Linked DNA regions of Sus scrofa. The protein of the gene in region 4 interacts with the protein of the main gene of each other region in a biochemical or structural test. Links are inferred from orthologs where the notes say so. Each region holds a gene or a part of one and is shown on either strand. Other genes may lie near its edges.

The links.
Region 1: the proteins of BMPR2 (region 4) and BMP2 form a complex in vitro, tested with the Homo sapiens proteins (4 studies listed by BioGRID and IntAct, with this or other methods). The link is inferred for Sus scrofa from reciprocal best matches to the Homo sapiens genes BMPR2 and BMP2.
Region 2: the proteins of BMPR2 (region 4) and GDF2 form a complex in vitro, tested with the Homo sapiens proteins (2 studies listed by BioGRID). The link is inferred for Sus scrofa from reciprocal best matches to the Homo sapiens genes BMPR2 and GDF2.
Region 3: the proteins of BMPR2 (region 4) and BMP4 form a complex in vitro, tested with the Homo sapiens proteins (2 studies listed by BioGRID). The link is inferred for Sus scrofa from reciprocal best matches to the Homo sapiens genes BMPR2 and BMP4.

Annotation. Positions count from the first base shown.
Region 1 is NC_010459.5:15,756,190-15,762,068, forward strand, and holds part of BMP2 (bone morphogenetic protein 2), read left to right. Parts: intron 1-4,123; coding exon 4,124-4,968; 3' UTR 4,969-5,879. UniProt on the Homo sapiens protein: Growth factor of the TGF-beta superfamily that plays essential roles in many developmental processes, including cardiogenesis, neurogenesis, and osteogenesis. Induces cartilage and bone formation.
Region 2 is NC_010456.5:88,509,480-88,516,010, forward strand, and holds the start of GDF2 (growth/differentiation factor 2), read right to left. Parts: upstream 3,938-6,531; 5' UTR 3,757-3,937; coding exon 3,408-3,756; intron 1,176-3,407; exon of another isoform or gene 597-1,175; coding exon 1-596. UniProt on the Homo sapiens protein: Potent circulating inhibitor of angiogenesis. Signals through the type I activin receptor ACVRL1 but not other Alks. Signaling through SMAD1 in endothelial cells requires TGF-beta coreceptor endoglin/ENG.
Region 3 is NC_010443.5:183,415,301-183,421,795, reverse strand, and holds BMP4 (bone morphogenetic protein 4 precursor), read left to right. Parts: upstream 1-2,177; 5' UTR 2,178-2,201; coding exon of another isoform or gene 2,202-2,326; exon of another isoform or gene 2,327-3,351; 5' UTR 3,352-3,358; coding exon 3,359-3,731; intron 3,732-4,680; coding exon 4,681-5,537; 3' UTR 5,538-5,802; downstream 5,803-6,495.
Region 4 is NC_010457.5:106,127,554-106,132,142, reverse strand, and holds part of BMPR2 (bone morphogenetic protein receptor type-2 precursor), read right to left. Parts: intron 3,400-4,589; coding exon 2,120-3,399; intron 1-2,119. UniProt on the Homo sapiens protein: On ligand binding, forms a receptor complex consisting of two type II and two type I transmembrane serine/threonine kinases.

The DNA.
Region 1 (5,879 bases), on a different chromosome or scaffold from region 4:
GCCCTCTGGTTATCATTGTAGTATTAAACACAAATCAGCTTCTAAGGGTTTTGACTTTTGCTTGAGTTTTAGACTCCTCCCCTGTGTTAGATGGTGCCGTCTAGTGGCCAAAAACTTGGGACCTGCAGTAGACTCAGGTTTGTAGCTATGCTCTTCATTTACTAGCTCTGTGACTTTAAGAAAGTCATGTAACCTCTCTGAGCTCCAACTATTTCATTTACAAAAAGGAGCTAATAACAGTTCCTCTTTAATTTAGTCATCATAAGATAGTTCCTGTGAAGTTCTACTGCTAGACTTGGCACAAACAAACAATGAGCACACTTGCTGTCATTAACGTGATGACTTCTTTCTTTTTTTTTTTGACTTCCGTGGCATATGGAAGTTCTCAGGCTAGGGTTCAAATCAGAGCTGTAGCTGCCAGCCTACACCACAGCTCACAGCAACGCCGGATCCTTATCCCACTGAGCAAGGCCAGGGATCAAACCCACATCCTCATGAACACTAGTTGGGTTTGTTACTGCTGAGCGATGACAGGAACTCTGATAACTTCTTTCTTTATGTCCTATTCTCTCCTGGCCTATGGAAGAGGCCAGAGTGGACCTAGGCAAGCTGAGGGAATTCCATCTCAACTTTTGGATTATTTTGATGTAGACAAATAATTGAAGTGTAAATGATTAAGGTGGAACTTCCCTTTTGGAGGAGAGGTTGAAAGTCACAGTTGCCTTGGGTTCCTTTATTTTTCTACAATTTTGCATCCATAGCTCCATCCATTTGGATAAGAACGTAAAGGTTCAAGGACCTAAGTCTCAGGTAGACTAGAGTCCTTAAATCCCTTGGCAGGTGCAGCTTATTCAACAAGGGTTATTTACCAAGAATTAATAACTGTATATGCCTTCAGAAAAACATACATTACCTACTTAGGTAAATGCTCTATATTTTCAGTATCTCCAGGCTGGTTGTGATGGTTTGCAGCTTTTTTTCCTTTACGCCATTTCAAAAGGTTCTGATTTTTTTTCCACCTTCAAGGAAAAAAAAAAAAAATCATGCTTTCTTGTAGATCAAAGGAAAGAGTAGTAGGTGCCCTAACCTTGGCCAGTTGTTTTCCTGAGATTGGGGGGGTTCCTGTGACCTTCTGACTTATCTCTGTGACCTGAGCCTGCAGTTAGGGGTATTTTCATAGAGGCCTTTGTATAAGGAGGAATAGCATTTCTTCAGGGGTTAGGGTAACTGAGGTGAAGCTGCAAAGTTGGAGAAAGATCTTCACGTTACTTATTTATATTTAATAGTGTAATTTTTTTCCTTTGCTAAATGCTATCCTTTCTGCCGCTCACCTTCAAGCAGATTCATGAGATAGCATGTTTTTTCTTTTTTGACCATGCCTGTGACATAAAAGTCCCCAGACCAGGGATCAAACCTGCCTACATTGTAGCAGCACCTGAGCCACTGCAGTGACAATGCTGGATCCTTAACCCACTATGCCATAAGAGAACTCCAAAATTGTTTTTTATAGGTCAAATCTGGCTGAATGGAGGCTGTCCTATATAATTCAGTCTAATAGTAGTCTTTCGGAGGGTTATGTTCTATTGAATGCCTCTTTGATACACATCCGCCCTCTTTACTTCATTGTCTCTCATGCTTACCTTGGAGGTTATTTCTTTATCCCCCTCCTCTTGGCTGTGTGTGTGTATGTTTAGAATTTCTTTCTTTCTTATTTATGGATTTGAACTTGGGAGTTTTGTTGCCGTTATGGTTTCTTTGGGCACCTATGTTAATACAGCTGCTTACCAAAGGCCCTGGATAATGTGCCTTTCCTTCCTCTATTTAAAAGAAAAGCCAGTATTCTTAGGTGTGCTGGTTTCAGCAAAGTCAGGAGCCCAGGTCTAGGCCTGGCTTGGTGTCCTCGTGTCCGGAGGATGCTGCTGACTTTTACATCACTCCTCTTTCCTCTGATAGCCAAGGGCTACTCTGATGAAAGAATATTTTCAGCAGAAGCAACCGAGGGCTCCTGAATTGCCAAGGGGAGTGGAAAGACGGGGGTAAACACCATCCTTGATATTTGCTGGAGACACGGACCAGAGCCCTGCTTCCACTGGTGGGAGGATTATTTTTAAAATAGCGCCTGGCCGGAAGTAGCATTAGCCGGCAGTGGTTTTAGGGTGTGCATGGCTCCTGAAAGGTACTCCTCCGTGTGTGGGTTAGCAGGCCCAAGAGGCCCATGGAAGATACTTCGGACCTCTTGGTCTCCCTGACCAAGTAGATGGGCTTTAAATCCTTCTGTTCTGAGTCTGGCTGCCCACCTATGGCCTCACCTCTTCCTTTTTGGCCAATGCTAATGGTTTTTCTATTTATTCTTCTATTATTTTTAAAAAGGCACTTGAAACGATGTCCCTGGTAATTGGTAATTTATACGTGAATGTGAAAAACATCCTTACAGCCTTTATGCTCAAAGGCTGGTTCACGAGTCCCCAGCATTGTCTCACCTGGGAGCTGCTTGGAATGCTGATTCCCAGGCCACACCCCAGACTCACCCACTGAATCAGAATCTGCATTTGAAGATTCACGGTGTCCTGGGTGTTTTGCACCGCAGCTGCAGTTTGAGAAGCATCACATTAAAGCATTCCTCCATAATTTGATGTAAGCCGCCCCTGTTGACCTCGTGCATCCACTTAGCTGCAGTGATGACTCTTGTTTTGATGATGTTTACACAGGTAGAACCTTTGAGTGAGTGACTGAAATGATTCTCCTTTGCCAAGGCATCTGAATTCTGTGAGGGAAGTGTAGCTGTTTGGTGTAGAAGTAAAATCAGAAAATTAATGAAAGTAGGGCTTCCTCTTATGGTGATGACATGCACCATGGCCAAACAGATTTTGTTAGCACTCAGGTTGGATCCTGAATGAAGCAGGTAAAAACTGTTGACAGTGGAATGACAAGATGTAGTAAAGCTAGAAGAAGGTCAACCCACATATCTCAAAGTCTAGTGCCATTTACTACTAATTTAATGATAACACATACCTTTGATGATGTGCAGGCTGCAGCATTCAAGGTACTGTGTTATAGTTTATTGTTTGCTTGGGAAGCAATTTACTCCTTAAAATTGAAATTCTGGAATTTTAAATCAGGAAGAACTTTTATGTATACCCCACTTAAATGACTATTTTGAAATAATGATAATAGATTTTAAATTATTCTCTAATAGATTTTCCCTTACACCAGAAATATCATAATGGTATTTCCGTTGATTTTTATAAATTATTTTTGGTTTTCCCTCTCTCTCCCAAAGCCTATTTTAGGGTAGGTATGTTTTTTAACATGGTTTATTTTTTTAAAAAGATAAAGGAATTACAACAGAAGAGTCATTTTTTTTCTTCCAAAAGCATCGGAAGTAAGTTTTTGATTTTTGAGGTCATAAGGAGGTGAGAGAACAGACAAACCGGGGAGTTATTTCTCTTGAAATGTCTAGCCTTAATTATTACAATGCCCTAGTACCTAGTACCACCCTTATGTTTCCAAAGAAATAGATCCCTGTAAATGCCTTTGTCTCTGGACTTTTGAGTAAAATAGTAGGGTGTGCTTTGCAAAATGTCATCGTGGATGTTGAGTTTCAGAGTCTTTAATTAGGAAACTGAAATCTGTATATCGAGATTTGTAAATCATCTAAATTGCAGAGTAATGTTTTAGAATACCGCTTAAGGGATTGACATTAAAGCCTTTTTCTTTTTAAGAAATGCAATAATTTCCTCAAATCCTCACTCATTAGACCTCTACTAACTACAGTGCTGACTTTTTCTTTTTGCCCTAAAGTCTGTGAATTCCAAAGAAATGCTTCACCATTCCCCCCATTATTATAGCCACCTGGAAGCAGTATTCATGTGTTGGATTAAAAATGTAACAATGAATTAGGAACTTTTGTTTCACAATACATATGTTGACATAAATGTATAGAAAAGGGAGGATCCTTTTTTTTTTTTATCAAAAGGGGAAAATTTAAATTTTCTGGTTGCAAACTTTGACGTGGGAGAAATCAAACCCTGAAGTGAGGTTTATAAATCCTTCTATCCAATCAGATTGTCACCACTTGTCCTAACAATTTTCCTTTTTTTTCCACTTTTTTGTATCAAATTAGAATCTTTGGAAGAACTGCCAGAAATGAGTGGAAAAACAACCCGGCGCTTCTTCTTTAATTTAACTTCTGTCCCCACCGAGGAGTTTATCACCTCAGCAGAACTTCAGGTCTTTCGGGAGCAGACACAGGAGACTTTGGATAACAGTAGCAGTTTCCATCACCGAATTAATATTTATGAAATCATCAAACCTGCAACAGCCAACTCCAAGTTCCCCGTGACCAGACTTTTGGACACCAGGTTGGTGACTCCGAATGCCAGCAGGTGGGAGAGCTTCGACGTCACCCCCGCTGTGATGCGGTGGACTGCACAGGGGGTCGCCAACCACGGGTTCGTGGTGGAAGTGGCCCACCCGGAGGACAGCCCGGAGGTCTCCAAGAGGCATGTGCGGATTAGCAGGTCTTTGCACCAAGATGAGCACAGCTGGTTACAAATAAGACCCTTGCTAGTCACTTTCGGCCACGATGGGAAAGGACACCCTCTGCACAAAAGGGAAAAGCGTCAAGCAAAACACAAACAGCGCAAGCGCCTGAAATCCAGCTGCAAGAGACACCCTTTGTACGTGGACTTCAGTGATGTGGGCTGGAATGACTGGATCGTAGCCCCCCCGGGGTATCATGCCTTTTACTGCCACGGGGAGTGCCCTTTCCCCCTGGCTGATCACCTGAACTCCACGAATCACGCCATCGTCCAGACGTTGGTCAACTCCGTTAACTCTAAGATCCCAAAGGCGTGCTGTGTCCCAACAGAACTCAGTGCCATCTCCATGCTGTACCTTGACGAGAACGAAAAGGTGGTATTAAAGAACTACCAGGACATGGTTGTGGAGGGTTGTGGGTGTCGTTAGCACAGCAAAATAAAAATAAATATATATATATATATTTTAGAAAAAACAAAAAAAAAAATCAAGTTGACACTTTAATATTTCCCAATGAAGACTTTATTTATGGAATGGAATGGAGAAAAAAAACACAGCTATTTTGAAAATATATTTATATCTACGAAAAGAAGTTGGGAAAACAAATATTTTAATCAGAGAATTATTCCTTAAAGATTTTAAAATGTATTTCGTTGTACATTTTATATGGGTTCAACCCCAGCACATGAAGTATAATGGTCAGATTTATTTTGTATTTATTTACTATTATAACCACTTTTTAGGAGAAATAGCTAATTTGTATTTATATGTAATCGAAAGAAGTATTGGGTTTGTACATAATTTTCCAAAAATTGTAGTTGTTTTTCGTTGTGTGTATTTAAGATGAAAAGTCTACATGGAAGGTTACTCTGGCAAAGTGCTTAGCACATTTGCTTTTTTTTTTTTTTTTTTTTTTTTTTTTTTTTTTTTTTTTTTTTTTTGCAGTGCTACTGTTAAGGTCACAAGTTCAAGTCCAGAAAAAAAAAGTGGATAATCCACTCTGCTGACTTTCAAGATTATTATATTATTCAATTCTCAGGAATGTTGCAGAGTGGTTACCCAGTCCATGAGAACCTATGTCCTTATTAGGTGGAATATTTGGATAAGAACCAGACATCGCTGATCTAATATACAATCCTTCCCCCACCCCCCAATTTGCAGAAAATAAAAAGCAGGACCAATTGAAATAATTAGGAAAATGATGAATCTTCAGGAAAGGGAATGATGGTTTGTTGTTCTTCTTTCCTAAACTAGTGACCCCTTCAAAGGGGCTGGTCTGGCCAAAGTGTTAAATAAAACATAAGATTTCTTCATTATTCAGATTGTGGTCATGTATATTT
Region 2 (6,531 bases), on a different chromosome or scaffold from region 4:
CCGTCTGGCCAGAGATGACCCCATGGCCACGTGGCCTTCCATGCCCTCCTCCTCCCCATCCTTGTCCTCACCTGCCTCCAACAGGCTGTTCCTAGACAGCTTCTTGAGCACACTTTCCTGCTCATGGCTGATCATCTCCCTGAGCTCTAGCGTGGTCTCCTTGGTTCCGTTGCTACGGTCATTGGAGAAGACGACAAAGAAGGGCAGGTTTTTGGAGCCTGGGGGGACACTGATATCTAGCTTGTCGCAGCCTTTCCTGTGACTCTCGACGGTCACTTCCAGTTTATTTTTGCTCTTGGTGGAGTCAGCCTGGGCCCACCGCTTCACAGCACTGGACACCTCAAAGGTCTCCCAGCCCTCATCCCGGATGTCCTGGGACACCAGGAAGGTCTTGGTTCCCTCAGAAGCTCCGTCCAGAACATCATAGATGATCATGTTTCCTTTCAGCTCATGGGAGGCATCCACGTGACTTTGACAAGAGAGGTAGAGTCGGAGCTCAGCCCTGGTGATCTGCTCATGCCTGGGAACGGAGATATTGAAGAGCAAGATGTGTTTCTGGAAAGGGAAGTCTTCTGTGGCTGAGACAGAGACAGCATCTGAAATGCAAATACACAGTCATGGGCATCTGTTGGGAGGGTCTCGTTTCATGACACCAAAGCTGAGGCTCATGGTTTAGATGAAAGGGCATCTGAGATGACATTGTCTGTCTCTAACAAATCTCCATTTGGTTTCCCTTAAACCCTAAATGTAGAAGGGTATTTAAAAAGGTATATTGAGCATCTTTCAAAGAAAAACAGAGGCAAGAGATGCTTTGCATTGATGTTGACAGGTATAGCTGTTTATTGAGCACCTACTGTGTACCTAGCATTACATACTATGTTTCACTTTTCTCTTCACATTAACCCTGGGAGGATCTTATTATTATTCCACTTTTACAGATACAGACACTTGGATTCAGAGTGTTTAACTGTAATTGCATACATCCTGGAAAAATTCTCACTTTACAAAACAGCAAAGCTCACTGTCAGTCTCAGAGTGCAGATCCTGAGGGTATAATTTTAAAGGAGAGATCCTGGGAGAGGACAGTGAAATTCCAGCCTAAGATGATGTTAAAACTCTCAGCATCTAAGTGGTATAAAAATCACCCAGAATTGTAACTTCTGAGCAAAATGAAGGTAGGTGATTATTTATTTATTTATTTATTTTTGTCTTTTTAAGGCTGCACCTGTGGCATATGGAGGTTCGCAGGCTAGGGGTCAAATCAGAGCTACAGCTGCCCTCCTACGCCACAGCCACAGCAAAGCTGGATTCAAGCCGCATCTTTGACCTACAGCAAAGCTCATGGTAACGCTGGATCCTTAACGCACCGAGCAAGGCCAGGGATCGAACCTCATGGATCCTAGTCAGGTTTGTTACCCCTGAGCCATGACGGTAACGCCGATTTTTTTTTAATGTTTGAGGTAAAAAAAATATTAACCTCAATGGCTTAGTCACATTTGGCTCAAAGAGGGCTTGCCTTTTAGCTACACAACTGTCTCACTTTCCCACTCCCCAGGCTGCTGCATGGCCACCAGCACATTTATTATACCATGGTTCGGTCACAAAGAGAGAAGTGTTGTGTTTTTTGAGCTCCTACTATGTGCCAACGTGAAGGAAGACTGGGTGCTGTTGTGAACCTGGCCATGCCTGACAGACTGAGTGCCAATCTTGACTCTCCCGAGTTCCTCTGGGCCTGTTTCCTCATCTGGAAAATGGGGCTCATCTGTCCAGCCTCCCAGGGTCGGTGTGAGGCTTTGACAAGAAGGTACATGGGACTTGCCCTACGCTGTCTCTGGCTCACAGCAGATACTCAATATTTCTGTGTCCTTCTTGCCTATGTATGCACCCTAGCACATGCCTTTCATATATCTCTGTGTCCCCTGACCCAGAGTGGACATGCCATCCTAGTTCCTGTGGTGGGTGGCGAGGCACTATAGCATATGTGAGTAGTGAGTGCAGTCTATGAGCAGTGTTTCAAGGACCCACTATGAACATGGCCATGGGAGCGCATCAGACATCTAGAAAACAAGGGCCTCCCTGCCTGAACTGCACTCAGGCTGTGTGAAGGGAAGCATAACTGGCCTCCATAGGAGTGCTGGCCACAGGCAGAGCTGGGATCAGATCACTTGTTTCTGGGACAATGACAATGCTGGGGGCGGGGTGTGGGTGGGAAGTCACTGATATAGCTCCAACACTGCACTCCTAGACTATGGGATTTGGTGATTTGGTGATTTGGTCCAGCCAAGAGAGCCCAGCCTTCCCCTAAAGCAGAGGTTACAGACATGCACCAGTGAGACATTAGCAGCATCTGGATGACCTGAGACCGCATTAAAAAAATATTAAGCCAGCGTTTAAAAATCAAGCAAGTTCATATAAACTCCAGGGACATCAGAAAATATAGCAGAAATTGGCACAATATTATAAATCAACTACACTTTAATTTTAAAAAAAAAGGAAATTAAAAAAAGAAAATACAGTCTTGCTGGGCACGTGGCATGACCACAGCATCCTTTAAATAAGGCATACATCTGTTAGGAGTCTGCAGGTCCCAAGCCCAGGAGAGAAGAGGCCCCGAGTGCTTGGCTGGTTAGAGAGAGGCTGCAGCTGCAGAAAAAGGCTGAGCTGGGCAGCCTTAACTAATGTTAGTTAAGCGGTCAGCTGCTTAACTAACATGTGAACTGGGCAAGTTCCCTCAGGGTCTGCAAGCCTTGACTCCCCTGCTCACAAGATCTTGTCACCTACGTTGTGCAAATAAATTAGTAGACTTAAGTCCTAAGTTGACATTTATTATCTTCTAGTCTGCCTAAGTCAGGATAATTATTTAATGTTTGGAAAATAAGTTGTCCTCCAATGTTTCTCTCTTGAAGGAATTAATCTGAATTTTAAACACCTTTTGATGAGAGAGAAGCAGACATTCTTTCGGTGTTCAAAAATATACCAGTTGGTTGGATGGTAAATAAGCTGTCTAAGCAGGAAGGGGACAGTATGGCAAAGAGGAGGTAGGAGAAAGGATGGAAGAAAGGGAGCTGACATTTCCTCAGCACCTCTGGTGTTAAATGTGGCTTTGGGCCCAGGGAGGGAGAATCTTCTAGAGCAGAGCTGTCCAATAGAAATGTCTGCAGTAAGGGAACTGTTCTATAATCGCCACTGTCCTATAGGGCAGCAATTAGCCATGCATGGTTGCTGGGCACTTGCATTCAAGCTAGTGAAACCAAAGAACTAAATTATTAATTTTATTTCCTTTAAATTAACATAAATGGAAACATCAAGAGTCCCATGTTTCCACTGGCCGCCATATTGGGCAGCAGCATCCATGGACCACTGAGCCCCCCGCCCCCACACCAGGCGCCCGGATGGGCTGACTCTACCTTCTACGCTGAAGCTGCGCACGATGTTGGACGCGGGGGTGGACGTCTTGTCAGTGGTGTATCTGTTGTACAGGTCAATCATGTACTGCGGTGGCTCAGCTCGGGTTTTGTCCTGGGAGGGGACCCCGCTCAGGTTGAGACTGCGCAAGAAATCCACCTTCATGTTTTCCAGGAACATCCTCAGGTCGAAGGTGCCCCGTTCCTGCTCACCTCCGGCCCCTCCTAGCAGGCGGTGGGCATCTCCCCCAGCCGAGGCCCTCACCCGGCTGTCCAGTGGCTTCCCCTGCGTGGAGCACACCAGCAGGGAGAGCGCCACAGGCAGGGCCACCCAGAGCACCCCGCGACACATCTTGGGGTGCTCTCTCCCTGCTTCAGAGACTGCGGCAGCTGCAGTGTGTTAGCGGGTGCGGGGAGGAGCCCGGAAGGAGCCGGCACGCATTGTCCTGCCCACAAGCTCTCCACCGCGCACCCCACGCGCCCAGGCCCGTTCACAGGCTCTCACCCACCCGCCGTCCCCGGAGTGCCCTCCACTTGTTCTTATCTGGCCCTTGATGCTGTGTTCAGGCCTCTTATCTGAGGGAGAGCTGCGTTAATGAAGGCTCTATAAACATCTGACAAACACACAAGACTTGTGGGAAGGACAAGGCCTGCTGCAAAGAGTCTGAATTTCTCTGTGGGGTTATCGCCCCCTAATTAGGATCCTTTCTCATTTCCTTGCCAGCTCTGTTCAGAGGCATCTTGAGACTGGGTGACATATGTTCCATCTCCTGGGCCAGGGGAACAAAGAATCCAGGAAACAAACAAGACCCAAAAGTCCTCCAAATATAGAAAAAACAGCACAAAACTCCCAGAAGACCCCTGCTAACCACTGGGACCTAGTGTGGGCAGTGGGGTGGGAACCTTATGTCAGAGTTAGTAAGAAGCCTACTTCCTGTGCAACTGCAATAAGCACTTGTGGCTCAAGTACCTTGTGTCTCGGTTTCTCGTCTGTCCAGTGAGCTCATGGGTGAATGTGGCACATAGAAGTCAGTGAGGTTATGGAGACTTTGGGTCAGACCAGATTCGGGTTCAAATCCCAGGTCCCTCACTTACTCCCCACAAGTGTGTCCTGGAGCAAGTCATTTCACCTCCCGAGTCTCTGGTTCGGGAGAGAGTTGTAAGATTTAAGGCGATTTGTGCTAAAGGTCGTGGTAGTCACCGTAAGCCCGTCAGTTGGGTGGCTGCATTCTGGCTGCCACTTCTCCACCTTGGGTCTGACTGAGAGAGGAGCTAGGGAGGCAGCCCTGTAGAGATCCTGGCCTGGTCTCTATGAACACCACTTACACGGTGAGACCTGCTGGCCCCGGGATCCCAGAGGAGCTCTGTCACTGGTCTCAGATGGGGCTGATCTTTGCTCATACTCATGTCAGCTGGGCGGCTGCATGAACCACACTTGTCAGTCAGGAGAACCGTGCCGTCTGAGACAAAGGACAGGGAGGGGGGAGCTCTGAGGCCAGGACATGTCCAGGAGACGTCCCCCTGGCCTAAGGAAGCCAACAAGCTGTGGCGCAGTCTGGGCCTGTGAGGTTCCGGGGTCTGCGACATTTTAGAACAGTGTGCCCACATTCAGACTCTGTCCATTTCCATCACTTGCGGCTTGATCACAACAAAGGATGAGCAGAAAAATATTCTGGGGGTCAACTTTGAGGAGTATTTAAAGACAAAGTTTTCCCAAGCTGGTGGGGCTCCTGGGAAGGGGTTACAGTGAGTGGAGGAGGTTCAGGAAGATGAACAAGGGGCCAGCGCAGGCAAGATCAGAGATCCCAGCATGCACCATCCCTACTGGGGGTGGGCTGAATCCAGGAAGGCCCAGTGGCCGGGTCTGGACAGAACTTGCTGTCCCTATCCCCTGGGACACTGCCAAGGAGGCTGGATGGGAAGGGTGCAGCTCCAGAAGTACTGCTTGCCGAGGAGGGCAGGAAGCATGCTAGGCTTTGAGCCAGCTCTGGGCAACAACTCCCTGAGGCGGGGAAAAGATGAACCCACAGCCCAGGAAGTGGAGCTGCAACTTCACAGCAGGGATCGAGCCTGGAGGATCTGGGGAGCTGGGCTGGCATTCCCCACAGGGCTCCAGTCTCTGCGGGCAGCCCAGAAGCCTGTCACATTCAAGAGGCGGAGCCAAGGGAGAAAGGGAGCTGGCCTGAATGTGTTCTCAAAGCTGGAGGAGCTGTTATGTTTTCTTAAAAACATGACAGATTTTTTTTAACCGATTATAACAGTAATATAGTACAGATAATTTGGGAACTGCAACACATTAGAAAGGAGGAGATAAAAATAACCTGTGATCTCACCATCCAGTAGGGACACAGTTAACATCTTGAGATATATGCAGCTCCACAATCCCCTTTGTTGTTCATAGGGTTTACAGAAGGTTTATAGGAGATAACATTTCTTTATCCTTGGAGATCTAAAAGTATATTTACTTTGCCTTCAAAAAATAAAAGAGAAGAGTTTTTGTTTTTTTTTTTTCTTGTGGCAGAGTTTTAAGATTCAAGAGTGCTTTGAGTTTCAGAAAGCTCCAGATTTGAGAAATGGTATGGAGTATATACTGTAATATCCTCAGTGGAGTTCAGGACAACATCCTATAACCAAACACATTAATATTTCTCTAGGGAAACAAATAAAAACACAAATGTCCACTTAGGTCCAGTTTTGCCCTGAAAGGAATTGAAAGAGACTTCAGGTTTTCTAATAGTTTCAGATTTGGGGATTTCATATAACAGGACTGCAGACCTGTTTATATATGGGGTCACCACACTGGGCCATGGAGGCTGCATGTGAACCCTGTCTGGAGGTCCTGGTCACATAGACTGGGTGAGGATGGTACCACCAGAATTTTGCATTGTGGCTCTGTATTTCTGGAATGATCTGCCCCATAAACTCAAGAGTATCAATATGTCCACATCTCCTTTCTTTTATTTAAGTCATTGCATGAGCCCTCCTGATTCCTATTATTGAAAGTCTGGTCTCTCAGAGCATCCCTTTCCTGAACTGTCCAAGGATGCTGTAGTGATGGTATAGTTCAACTTCTTACTGCTGGAAGGGAGGCATGGGCTAGGGGTCCTGGCAGGTTCTACCTGCTGTT
Region 3 (6,495 bases), on a different chromosome or scaffold from region 4:
CTCGAAAGGGTACCGGGATTCACGAATCTTTGCGGACCCATCCCCATGGCCTCAGACGCTTCCCGGGCACCGATTTCGTGGTAGGTTTCTGAGGATCGCGTTTTGTGAGCTCAAGGCTTTTTGAGATGTTAAAACCCCGAAAAACAGATTCGGTAAACTGAGGTCACCTCTGAACAAATTTTGGCGTTGGGAGAAAACTCGTAGGGAAGTGAAGGACAGTCGCCATGAGTTGCATCTCCACCCCTCAAAAAAAAAAAAAAAAAAAAAAAGAAAGAAAGAGAGAGAAAGAAAAAAGCTGGAGACGAAAGTGCTTTTCAGCTTTTTTTTTAATTAAAAAAAAATGTGATTAGAGACGAATCCTATTGAGTCCGAAATTGAAACAACCCGCTCTTCCCTCGCCTCTGAGTTTTAGCGCAGCGCGCTCCCGCCGTAGCCCTGGGATTTCTAGGGTCGGAGGATTGTCCAGGAACTGCGGGCGCCCGCCCCTTCCACTGTCCTTCGCCCGCGGGGAGCTGCCCTTCTCTGCTTCTCCCATCTCTGGAGCTTTCCCCCCCACCCCGGTGCATTTTAAGGGTTCCAGGCGTCTCAACGAAACTCTTTGCTCTTCCCACCCGTTCGCAGTCAGCCTCAGCGGTGGCGCGGTAGCGGGAAAACTTAAAGGCGCTCAAAAGGCGGCAGCTCTGGGCGGGCAAGGATCGTCGCGCAGGGGCGCCCGCGCACACCCAGGCCAGCGACGGGTAGGGCCGCGCGGGACAACCGCGGCCGGGAGGGAGGGCTAAGCGTTTGATCCTTCACACTTCTTCCAGGCCCTCCTGCAAGTGCCCCCAAGATAAAACCGAGTTTTGCTGGGTGAGGCCGGGAACCTGAGCCTTCGAGCTCTGAATAGACCCAAGGCAGAAACTGGGAACAGGCTTAGGAAAGGGCGGCAGGGTACAGTGTGCTGTGCAGCCGGGATCGCGCGACTGTGACCCCTGCGCAGGCCGGGCAGATTCAGTTTCGAGGGTCACGGTTTCGGAAAGGACCCTGTATTGAGTGATCCACGCATGCAGCATCTTTGGATAGAGTCGGGATATCACAGTAATACCTTGAGCGGTGGGTTGGTAAAATTCTTGAAGCATTTGCTGAGATTCTGAAGCTGGTGCAAAGGAGGAAGGGGGGGGAGGAAGTGGCGGGAGAGGAGTAGTGGTTTAAAAAAGACGAGCTGGGGTGGGGGTGGGGGGAAAGACAGACGCAGAGATCGAGCGTAGGCCGAAAGCTGTTCACGGTTTTCTGGACTCCTGGGAACCCATTGTGATTTCCTTTCTGCCCTGGCTCGGGAGTTGTAAAACCTCTGAGACTTGGAGACCTGAAACAAGTGTTGAGCCCTTCCGAGGAGACGCCTCTCTTTTGAGTCCGCCCCTCCGCCTTTAAGGGCCTCAGGACCGCTTTCTTTGGGGATTTACTTTGCTCGGTGGGCACGCCGTGGTGTGGAGATTCTCTCCGTAAAGGAACCGGAGGAAAGAGCCCAGCGGCCATTCCCTTACCACGTTCCCACACTGGTCACCGCCTGACCATCTACCCCTCCGACCACTTATGACAGGTCCTCAGCTTTTGGTCGGGAGCTAAAGAGGCTGCTCAATTCCTCTAAACACTCGCAGAAGTTCGCCAGGGGGTGACTGTAGCTGGGAGCAATTTTTGGCCTCTCGGAGATCCTGGGGAGAAAGAGGGGTGGGTGCGCGCGGCACGTGTATATCTGTCTTTCAGTGCTTTTCTTTTTAAACGACCCTGGGTGGTGCGGCTTTCAGCTGCTGAGACTCCGCCGCCCCCAAATCCCGGCCCAACTTGAGCCAGGCTCACACTGAAAGGCGAAGCCCCTACCGTGCTCCCCAGATCCTCTCGCCTAAGGCAGCTGGCGGGAGGGATCAGGCCGACACGACGGAGGCTGCAGGTAGAGGCGAGGACCACGTCCTCCGCCAGCTGCACCCGGGGACCAGCTGAGGACTCGGCCGGGAGCTCCTCCCGGACGCTGGTGGTTGGGGCAGCAGGCGGGGAGGCTGGCCTCTCAGAGAGGGGGCGGGGCGGAGATGGGGCGGGTCCACTGCGGGGAAGGCGGACGCTTCGGTGCGCGGGGCGGAGTCTTTGCATTCACGTGACTCAGAGGGGCTGGAAGAAAAACAGAGTCAGCCTGCGCCAGTCTCATTATATTCAAATATTCATTTTAGGAGCCATTCTGTAGTGCCATCCAGAGCAACGCACTGCCGCAGCTCCTCTGAGCCTTTCCAGCAAGTTTGTTCAAGATTGGCTGTCAAGAATCATGGACTGTTATTATATGCCTTGTTTTCTGTCAGTGAGTAGACACCTCTTCCTTCCCTCTTCCCGGGAATTCACTCTGCCCTCCCCACCCGTGCTCGCCTTGTGTCCCTCCCGTCGGACCTGCCTTCCAGAGTCCACACTCCGCTTTCTGGCAGCGCTGTCGCTTTCTTCTTGGCGCCGCAGCCGCTGCGCTCTGAGCGTACCGGTTCTATTTAAAGTGCTGCTTGCTCCACTCTCTTCCTGATCTGTGCGTTGCAAGGAAGGAGAGCGAAAGGGGGCAAAAAAGAAAAGTCCGCAGCCAGGGGTGCTTACCATCCCCTTCTCCCACTTGACTGCGGATCACCCAGTGCCCCCGTGGCATATTCCCAGCTGCTTGTCAAACTCAGACGTCGCTCTTGGAATCATCCCCCCCACACACCCTTCTCTGGGAGTGAGTGAGCGGGCTCAATCAAACGCTTTTTGCTGGGCATTTCAAATTCATCAGCCCCCGTAAAATAAACCTTCCAGACCCAGCCGCCGGGTGTCTTCGCCCTGCCCCTGCTTCTCTGTTTTCCCTCCCTCCTGCTCCGAACCAGCTGGAAGTTGTGGAAGTCGGCTCGGAGGGCGGAGGAAGAAGGGGGGTGGAGGAAGGGGGGGGAGAGACTGAAGGTCTGAAGTGGAGAGTAGAGAGATGGTATTTTAATTCTCCCTCCCCCATCCTTTTTTACCTCCTCAATGTTAACTGTTTATCCTTGAAAAAGCCAAGCTGAGATCATGGCTCAGATAGCAGTTGGGACAAAAAAAGATTAACAGGATGGAGGCTATCTGATTTGGGGTTATTTGACTGTAAACAAGTTAGACCAAGTAATTACAGGGCAATTCCTACTTTCAGGCCGCGCATGGCTGCAGCTGGTGGTGGGGTGTGTGTGAGGGGGAAGACACAAACTTGATCTTTCTGACCTGTTTTACATCTTGACCCTCTCTGTCTAGCCCTGTATGAGTTTGCTGAGACATCTCTATTTTTCTCTAGTTATTGGTGTTTATTTATTCTTTAACCTTCCACCTCCTCCCCCTCCCTAGAGACACCATGATTCCTGGTAACCGAATGCTGATGGTCGTTTTATTATGCCAAGTCCTGCTAGGAGGCGCGAGCCATGCTAGTTTGATACCTGAGACGGGGAAGAAAAAAGTCGCCGAGATTCAGGGCCACGCGGGAGGACGCCGCTCAGGGCAGAGCCATGAGCTCCTTCGGGACTTCGAGGCTACACTTCTGCAGATGTTCGGGCTGCGTCGCCGCCCGCAGCCTAGCAAGAGCGCCGTCATCCCAGATTACATGCGGGATCTTTACCGGCTTCAGTCTGGAGAGGAGGAGGAGGAAGAGCAGACCCACAGCGTTGGTCTCGAGTATCCCGAGCGCCCTGCCAGTCGGGCCAACACCGTGAGAAGCTTCCACCACGAAGGTCAGTCCCAGCTCAGGGTCTGGGCTGTGGAGGGCCGGTAGGGCAGCTCTGGGGGAGAGGAGTTCAGGTTACATCAAAGCCCCAGATCAGGAGGCTAGGGAACCGAGCTGCTCACCTCCAAGGATTTTCAGAGCTGTGGCCCAGTTTATTTTTTGGAGACGGAGGGGAGGGGTTTGGGAGGAGAATGACACCGCTCAAGTCTCTGGCTAGCCCCAGAGGTGTGCTTCTGTGATATCAAAGCCTTTTATGCCAGATTTTCTGCGCATTTTTTTTTCCAAAGCACCTACTGAATTTAATATTACAGCTGTGTGTTTGTCAGGTTTATTCAATAGGGGCCTTGTAATCTGATCTGAATGTTTCCTAGCGGATGTTTCTTTTCCAAAGTAAATCTGAGTTATTAATCCACCAGCATCATTACTGTGTTGGAGTTTATTTCCCTCTCTGTAACATGATCAACAAGGCATGCTCTGTGTTTCCAAAGATCACTGGGGAAATGTTTGGTAACATACTCGAAAGTGGAAGAAGAGGGAGAGGGTGGTTGTGTGCATGTTCCCTCCTGCCTCTACTCTGTTGGCCCCTCTTTTTCTTTACAACCACTTGTAAAGAAAACTGTGTACACAAAGCCAGGAGGGCTTTAAAAGGGGAGTCTTATGGTGGTGGAGTAAGGAGTTGACACATGGAAATTATTAGACATATAAAGGAGGTTGGGAGATTGTCTTTGGTGCCTGCTGAATGCTATCTAAGCTTCACTAGTTTGCTAGCTGCCCCATTGATCTGCTCTTTCAAATTAAAAGGTATGTTTATTTCCCCCTAGTAGGCTTCCACTGTATAAGCAGAGTTCCCCACTCATCACCCAGCTCTTAGCTGTTTCTTGACTTTTCAGTCTCTCAAAAAGCTCATGGGCTTTTTTTTCTTTTCTCTTTTCTTTTTCCTCCCCAACTGTGCCTAGAACATCTGGAGAACATCCCAGGGACCAGCGAAAACTCTGCTTTTCGTTTCCTCTTTAACCTCAGCAGCATCCCAGAGAACGAGGTGATCTCATCCGCAGAGCTTCGACTCTTCCGGGAGCAGGTGGACCAGGGCCCTGACTGGGAGCAGGGCTTCCATCGTATAAACATTTATGAGGTTATGAAGCCCCCACCAGAAGTGGTGCCTGGACACCTCATCACACGACTACTGGACACGAGACTGGTCCACCACAATGTGACACGGTGGGAAACTTTTGATGTGAGCCCTGCGGTCCTTCGCTGGACCCGGGAGAAGCAGCCAAACTATGGGCTGGCCATTGAGGTGACCCACCTCCATCAGACACGGACCCACCAGGGCCAGCATGTCAGGATTAGCCGATCGTTACCTCAAGGGAGTGGGGACTGGGCCCAGCTCCGGCCCCTCCTGGTCACATTTGGCCATGATGGCCGGGGACATGCCTTGACCCGACGCCGGAGGGCCAAGCGTAGCCCCAAGCATCACCCACAGAGGGCTCGGAAGAAGAATAAGAACTGCCGGCGCCACTCGCTCTATGTGGACTTCAGTGACGTGGGCTGGAATGACTGGATTGTGGCTCCACCAGGCTACCAGGCCTTCTACTGCCATGGGGACTGCCCCTTTCCACTGGCTGACCACCTCAACTCAACCAATCATGCCATCGTTCAGACCCTGGTCAACTCTGTTAATTCCAGTATCCCCAAAGCCTGTTGTGTTCCCACCGAACTGAGTGCCATCTCCATGCTATACCTGGATGAGTATGACAAGGTGGTACTGAAAAATTATCAGGAGATGGTAGTAGAGGGATGTGGTTGCCGCTGAATCAGGCCTTCCGTGGGGAGAGACAGACAGACACACACACACACACACCCCATCCACTACTCACTCACACACTACACAGACCGCTTCCTTATAGCTGGACTTTTATCTTTAAGAAAAAAAAAAAAAAAAGGAAAAAACCCTAAACATTCACCTTGACCTTATTTATGACTTTATGTGCAAATGTTTTGACCATATTGATCATATATTTTGACAAAATATATTTATAACTACATATTAAAAAATAAAATGAGTCATTATTTTAAAGGTAAACTATGTTCCTTTTCTCTTTAATCCTTTCTTTCTTCCTTCTGCCCCATCTCTGTTGGAGGAGATCTTTTTCTTTAATGTGGGGCTGGGGGCATGATGGAAGTCAGAGGGTGGAAACTGGAGGTGGTTAAGTTGGAGGAACAGGAAGTAAACTGATGGTGGAGGATGGTAATTGCCAGGATGAATTGTTTTTCCATTTCTATTTAATGTTAACAAGGACAAGGATGCAGCATCCTCTCCCATCTGGATGACACATGCCTTGGAGAAACTGGGATGAAAGGAGTAGGCCAGATTAAAGAGTCAGTTTGGGCCTTCTTATACACCCTCTGGTTTTGTTCACCTGTTAGGGGTGTGTCCCAGCAAAGTGTGATGGCTGAGTCTCAACTCCAGGGCAATGGTTCCCACCTCTGCTTTTAAGATACCCTGGACTGTCTCTAGTTATTACAGGTACTCGTGTTGCACTTTCAAACCAAAGGTAATTTGCACACTCACATATTAACGTGTGTGTATATACGTGTGTTTTTTAAACAGGAGGGTTGTGGGGGTTTTTTTGTCTTTTTTTTTTTTTTTTTTTTTTTGAGAAGTGGGTTCTATCCAATAAAACAAATTGCCTTACTTTTGGTGACCGATATTTTATCACATGGTGGAATTCTCCAGTGTTTCAGAACTTTTCCCCCTTGTCTCCTATTCC
Region 4 (4,589 bases):
AGCCAATGGACATTTCTTCAAATTCATGATGCCAGGCAGTATTTTTCTGGGCCAAACTTAACCAACCTTTTTCTTTTCTTTTTGCATGTTAGGGCTGCACCCGTGGCATATGGAGGTTTCCAGGCTAGGGGTCAAATCAGAGCTACAGCTGCCAGCCTACACCACAGCCACAGCAACTCAGGATCCTAGCTGTGACCTACACCACGGATCAAGGCAACACCAGATCCTTAACCCACTGAATGAGGCCAGGGATAGAACCTGCAACCTCATGGTTCCTAGTCAGATTCATTTCTGCTGCGTCATGATGGGAACTCCACCAACTTACTTTTGAGACTCTTTTAAACCCAATGTTTTTATAACTTGTTGAATTATTCTATAGGGCAAGGAAGAAAATATTGAAAAGCCACAAAAGGTTAAAAACAGAAGAGAAAATTCCAAGTTCTCAACTGTATTCTCAAAAATCCTTTGGTTATGAGCAGCAATGCTACAAAATGCATTTAATCGTTCTATTCCATGCTCAAAGTGGATCATATTTTAAAGGCTCAAGGCATTAATATTTTTCAGAATAATGACATAAACAATGGGGTACAAATTTTCTAGTAACTTACCCTTCCCATGTGTCACAAGACATTTTTACTAATATGGAACCTTGCCATAAGGTATGTCAACATTTCTATAATACAAGCCATTCAAGCAAGGGGCTACTGATTTATGACAGCCGAATCCCTTCAGCCCATTTCGTAGTCTTTGTTTTTTCTTTCTTTTTTTTTTTTTATAAGTGCTATCAGTCTAAACAATCTTTTTTTTTTTTAGGGCCGCACTCACAAAATATGGAAGTTCCCAGACTAGGGGCTGAATTGGAGCTGCAGCTGCCAGCCTATACCACAGCTCACAGCAACTCCAGATCCTTTAACCCACCGAGTAAGGCCAGGGATTGAACCCATATCCTCATGGATAGTAGTCGGGTTTGTTTCCACTGAGCCACGACGGGAACTCGGAGAAGTCATTTTGTATAATGATGACTGTTAAAGATTTTGGTGAGCTCTTCTATATTGCATTATAATCCTTCTAGGGCCATAAACCAAGTATCAAGTTGCTAGAGGCCCCACAGCACAATGCTATAGGCACATGGGAGACTCAGCATATAACTCCTAAAAAAAAAAAATGACATTAAAAACCATGAAGAACTTTATAGTTTCTTGTTTTATTTATTTTTTTTTAGAGCTGCACCTAAGGCATATGGAGTCCCCAGGCCAGGGGTCCAATTGGAGCTACTGCTGCTGGCCTATACCATAGCCACACCAACGCAGAATCTGAGCTGCATCTGAGACCTACACCACAGCTCAGGACAACGCCAGATCCTTAACCCACTGAGCCAGGTCAGGGATCAAACCTGTGTCCTCATAGGATACTAGTCAGATTCATTTCTGCTGTGCCACAAACTGGAACTCCTATGGTTTCTTTATATTGACTTTTCTGAATTTTCTATGGACTTTTTAATAAATACTAATATGCTCAACAAAGTTTCAAAAGTGATACTGGCATCATCTTACTTGGATTGTTTAAACTGGTCAGTACTTTATCTCAACTATTCATAGTAAGTATGTGAGTTGCATTACAAACCAGCAGTTACATAAGACAAATTGCTAACTATTCCAATTATTGTGACATTATCTTTTAAATTATAAACAACAAAATTATTTGTTTTATACAACATTTTAATTACTTCTGAAGTCCAACCAAATGGCTTATTTTATTTTTTGCTTCTTTCAGGGCTGCACTGCAGTATATGGAAGTTCCTAGGCTAAGAGTCAAATCAGAGCTGCAGCTACTGGCCTATGCCGCAGCCACAGCAACACCAGATCTGAGCCATACCGGCAACCTACACTATAGCTCATGGCAAGGCCGGATCCATAACCCACTGAGCAAGGCCAAGGATCAAACCTGCATCCCTGCATACTAGTCAGGATTGAAACCTGCTGGGCCACAATGAGAACTCCCAAATGGCTTATTTTATTTTGAAAAGTAATATAAAATAATTGCTAGTTGAAACATAATCTGTTTCTAACTAAGTAGTTACTTAAATGGTCCCAAAAGATTACACAATCCCTCCACTTACACTGCAAACTGCTGCCATCAAGGACATTTGTGGCTGAAAGATCCAGAGAATTAGGCCTCTGTGCTCTTCTGGGCTTTGACGGTGCAGGGTCTGCTACTGTGCTTGGAACACCCTGTGTAAGACCTTCTTGCTCTGAACATGGATTGCTGTTGTTGTTATTGGAATTAGTTCGGCCGCCTTCCAGTGGTCGTTCCCTCCTGTCCACCAGACGATCCAGAACACCTTCATCATGGCCAGCCTGTTGCTCTCGTCTCAGTAATGGTTCATGCTCATCAGGACTGGAATTAATATTCAGCCGGGTGTCCTCACCAATGAATTGATTCTGCAGCATTTCTTGGGTTCTATGTGCCACTGTGTTGGCTGTCTGGCCAGACGGAACTACCCCATTGACATACTGGGTAGTGGCAGCATGAGAGTTAATGCTGTGGTTTCTACCTGCCACACCATTCATGGTGACCGTCACCACATGAGGTTCTGCAGCATTGATTGTATTCATCTTGGCAACTCCAGTTTCTACTTGTTTCAAGTTTGATTTGTGCTTGCTGCCAAATTTCAGCCGGGGCTCCTTTGTTGAATTTTTGGTGTTCAAAGGCAAACTAGTAGGTCTCTTAGGAAGGTTCTGTTGCTTGGGGAGAGGATAGATCTGAGCGGGTGGGACATCAGGAATTAAACATGCTTGGCCATTTGCAGCCTGTGCGAAGTCCTGCTGTCCTGTCACTTCTACTGCAAGCTTTATGAGTGGGTAAAGCAAGCTAGAACTGGTACTGCTCAGGGGATCTGGCCCACTAAACTGTTTAAGAGAATGTTCCATGAGATTCTCATCAGAACTTTCTTTGAGGTTTTTATCAACTTCTTTTGGGTCCAGCTTGTTGGTCTCCAAGTCTTCTTCTGTCAGTTGTAAGCAGACGGGGGTTGGCCCGATTGGCTGTGAGACATTTGTGGCATGCAGATTTGCTTCATCTGAGTATGGCATCTCAGATATAGTGGTCATGCCGGTGCTTGGAGTGAGGCCAGTGGTGTTTGTGGTTGTAGTGTTGGTAGACAAGCTGGTGACACTTGTTTCAGGGCTGGGGATTCGAGCTTGTGCTTGCTGCCGTTCATAGTTAATTGAATTTCGGTTCTTTTCCCCTAAAGTCAAAGGTGTGCTGGACATTGAATGCTCAGAGGAGATATTCTTCACAATGCTGTCAGTGTGATGGATCGAGTCTTCAATGTATGAGGAAGAAGAATAATCTGGATAAGGGCCAATCTTTGGCACACGCCTGTTGTGGGATAGGTTGCTTAAAGAAAGAAAAAAGTGCCATGTTGAGAATGTACATTTATGACAAACTGACTCTCAGAGTTTAACACCTCTGATTTTAAAGAATAATTTGCTTTTAATTTTATTCCTAACCCACATTATTCTAAAGGTTATTTAATAATTCTAATCAAACAATCAAATGTCATTTAATACCTTGCTAAAGGCTAGTTTTGTATGATTTAAGCCTACCAAAAAGCCTATATGGATCTAGACATGATTTATATATATACTTATTCTTTAGGCTTATAAAAGTTATTTAAAAAAACTCCCCTATAGTTTTGTAACATTAGCAAATATACCTTTATGAATTGAATACTTGCACAACAGACATAAAAGTTCCATGAGAGGAGTTCCCATTGTGGTTCAATGGTTGACGAATTCAACTAGGAACCATGAGGTTGCGGGTTCGATCCCTGGCCTCGCTCAGTGGGTTAAGGACCCGGCGTTGCTGTGAGCTGTGGTGCAGATCGCAGATGCGGCTCAGATCCTGCGTTGTTGTGGCTATGGCTGTGGCTGGCAGCTACAGCTCCCATTAGGCCCCTAGCCTGGGAACCTCCATATGCCGTAGGTTGCGGCCCTGAAGAGGCAAAAAAAAAAAAAAAAAAAGTTCCATGAGAGAAGGAAACAAGGCGTGTGTCTTTTACATTTCCATAATTCTAAATATACAACTGCTACTCAACAAATATGTTACCAACTAAGTTCCAAATAGTAAAAAGAACATAATCTTTTAGGTTGTTTCAAAGTGCTACATTAAGACGCATAGTCTAGCAAAGGAACTTATCTTCCTAAGGTAGACCGAACCATTATCAATGAAAGTCTTAGAGCCTTAGGGTATAAGGCAGAATGTGACACTCAAAATAAAAAAATAAATAAATAAATAAATCAAAGATATAGAACTGCTCTCCAGTTATCAAAGGTTCTTCCCTGTTATTGTCACATCTTGAGAATGGTGGTTCTTAAACATCACACTATAACATATTTGCTTTAAAAAAAAAAAGCCAGGCCAAGATATGGAAAAAACCCAAGTACCCACTGATAGATAAATAGACAAAAATGTGGTATATGCCCAACAGAATATCAGCCATAAAAAAGAATGAAATCTTTCCATCTGTGACATGGATGGATCTAGAATGTATTATGCTAAGTGAAATAAGTCAGACAGAGAAAGAC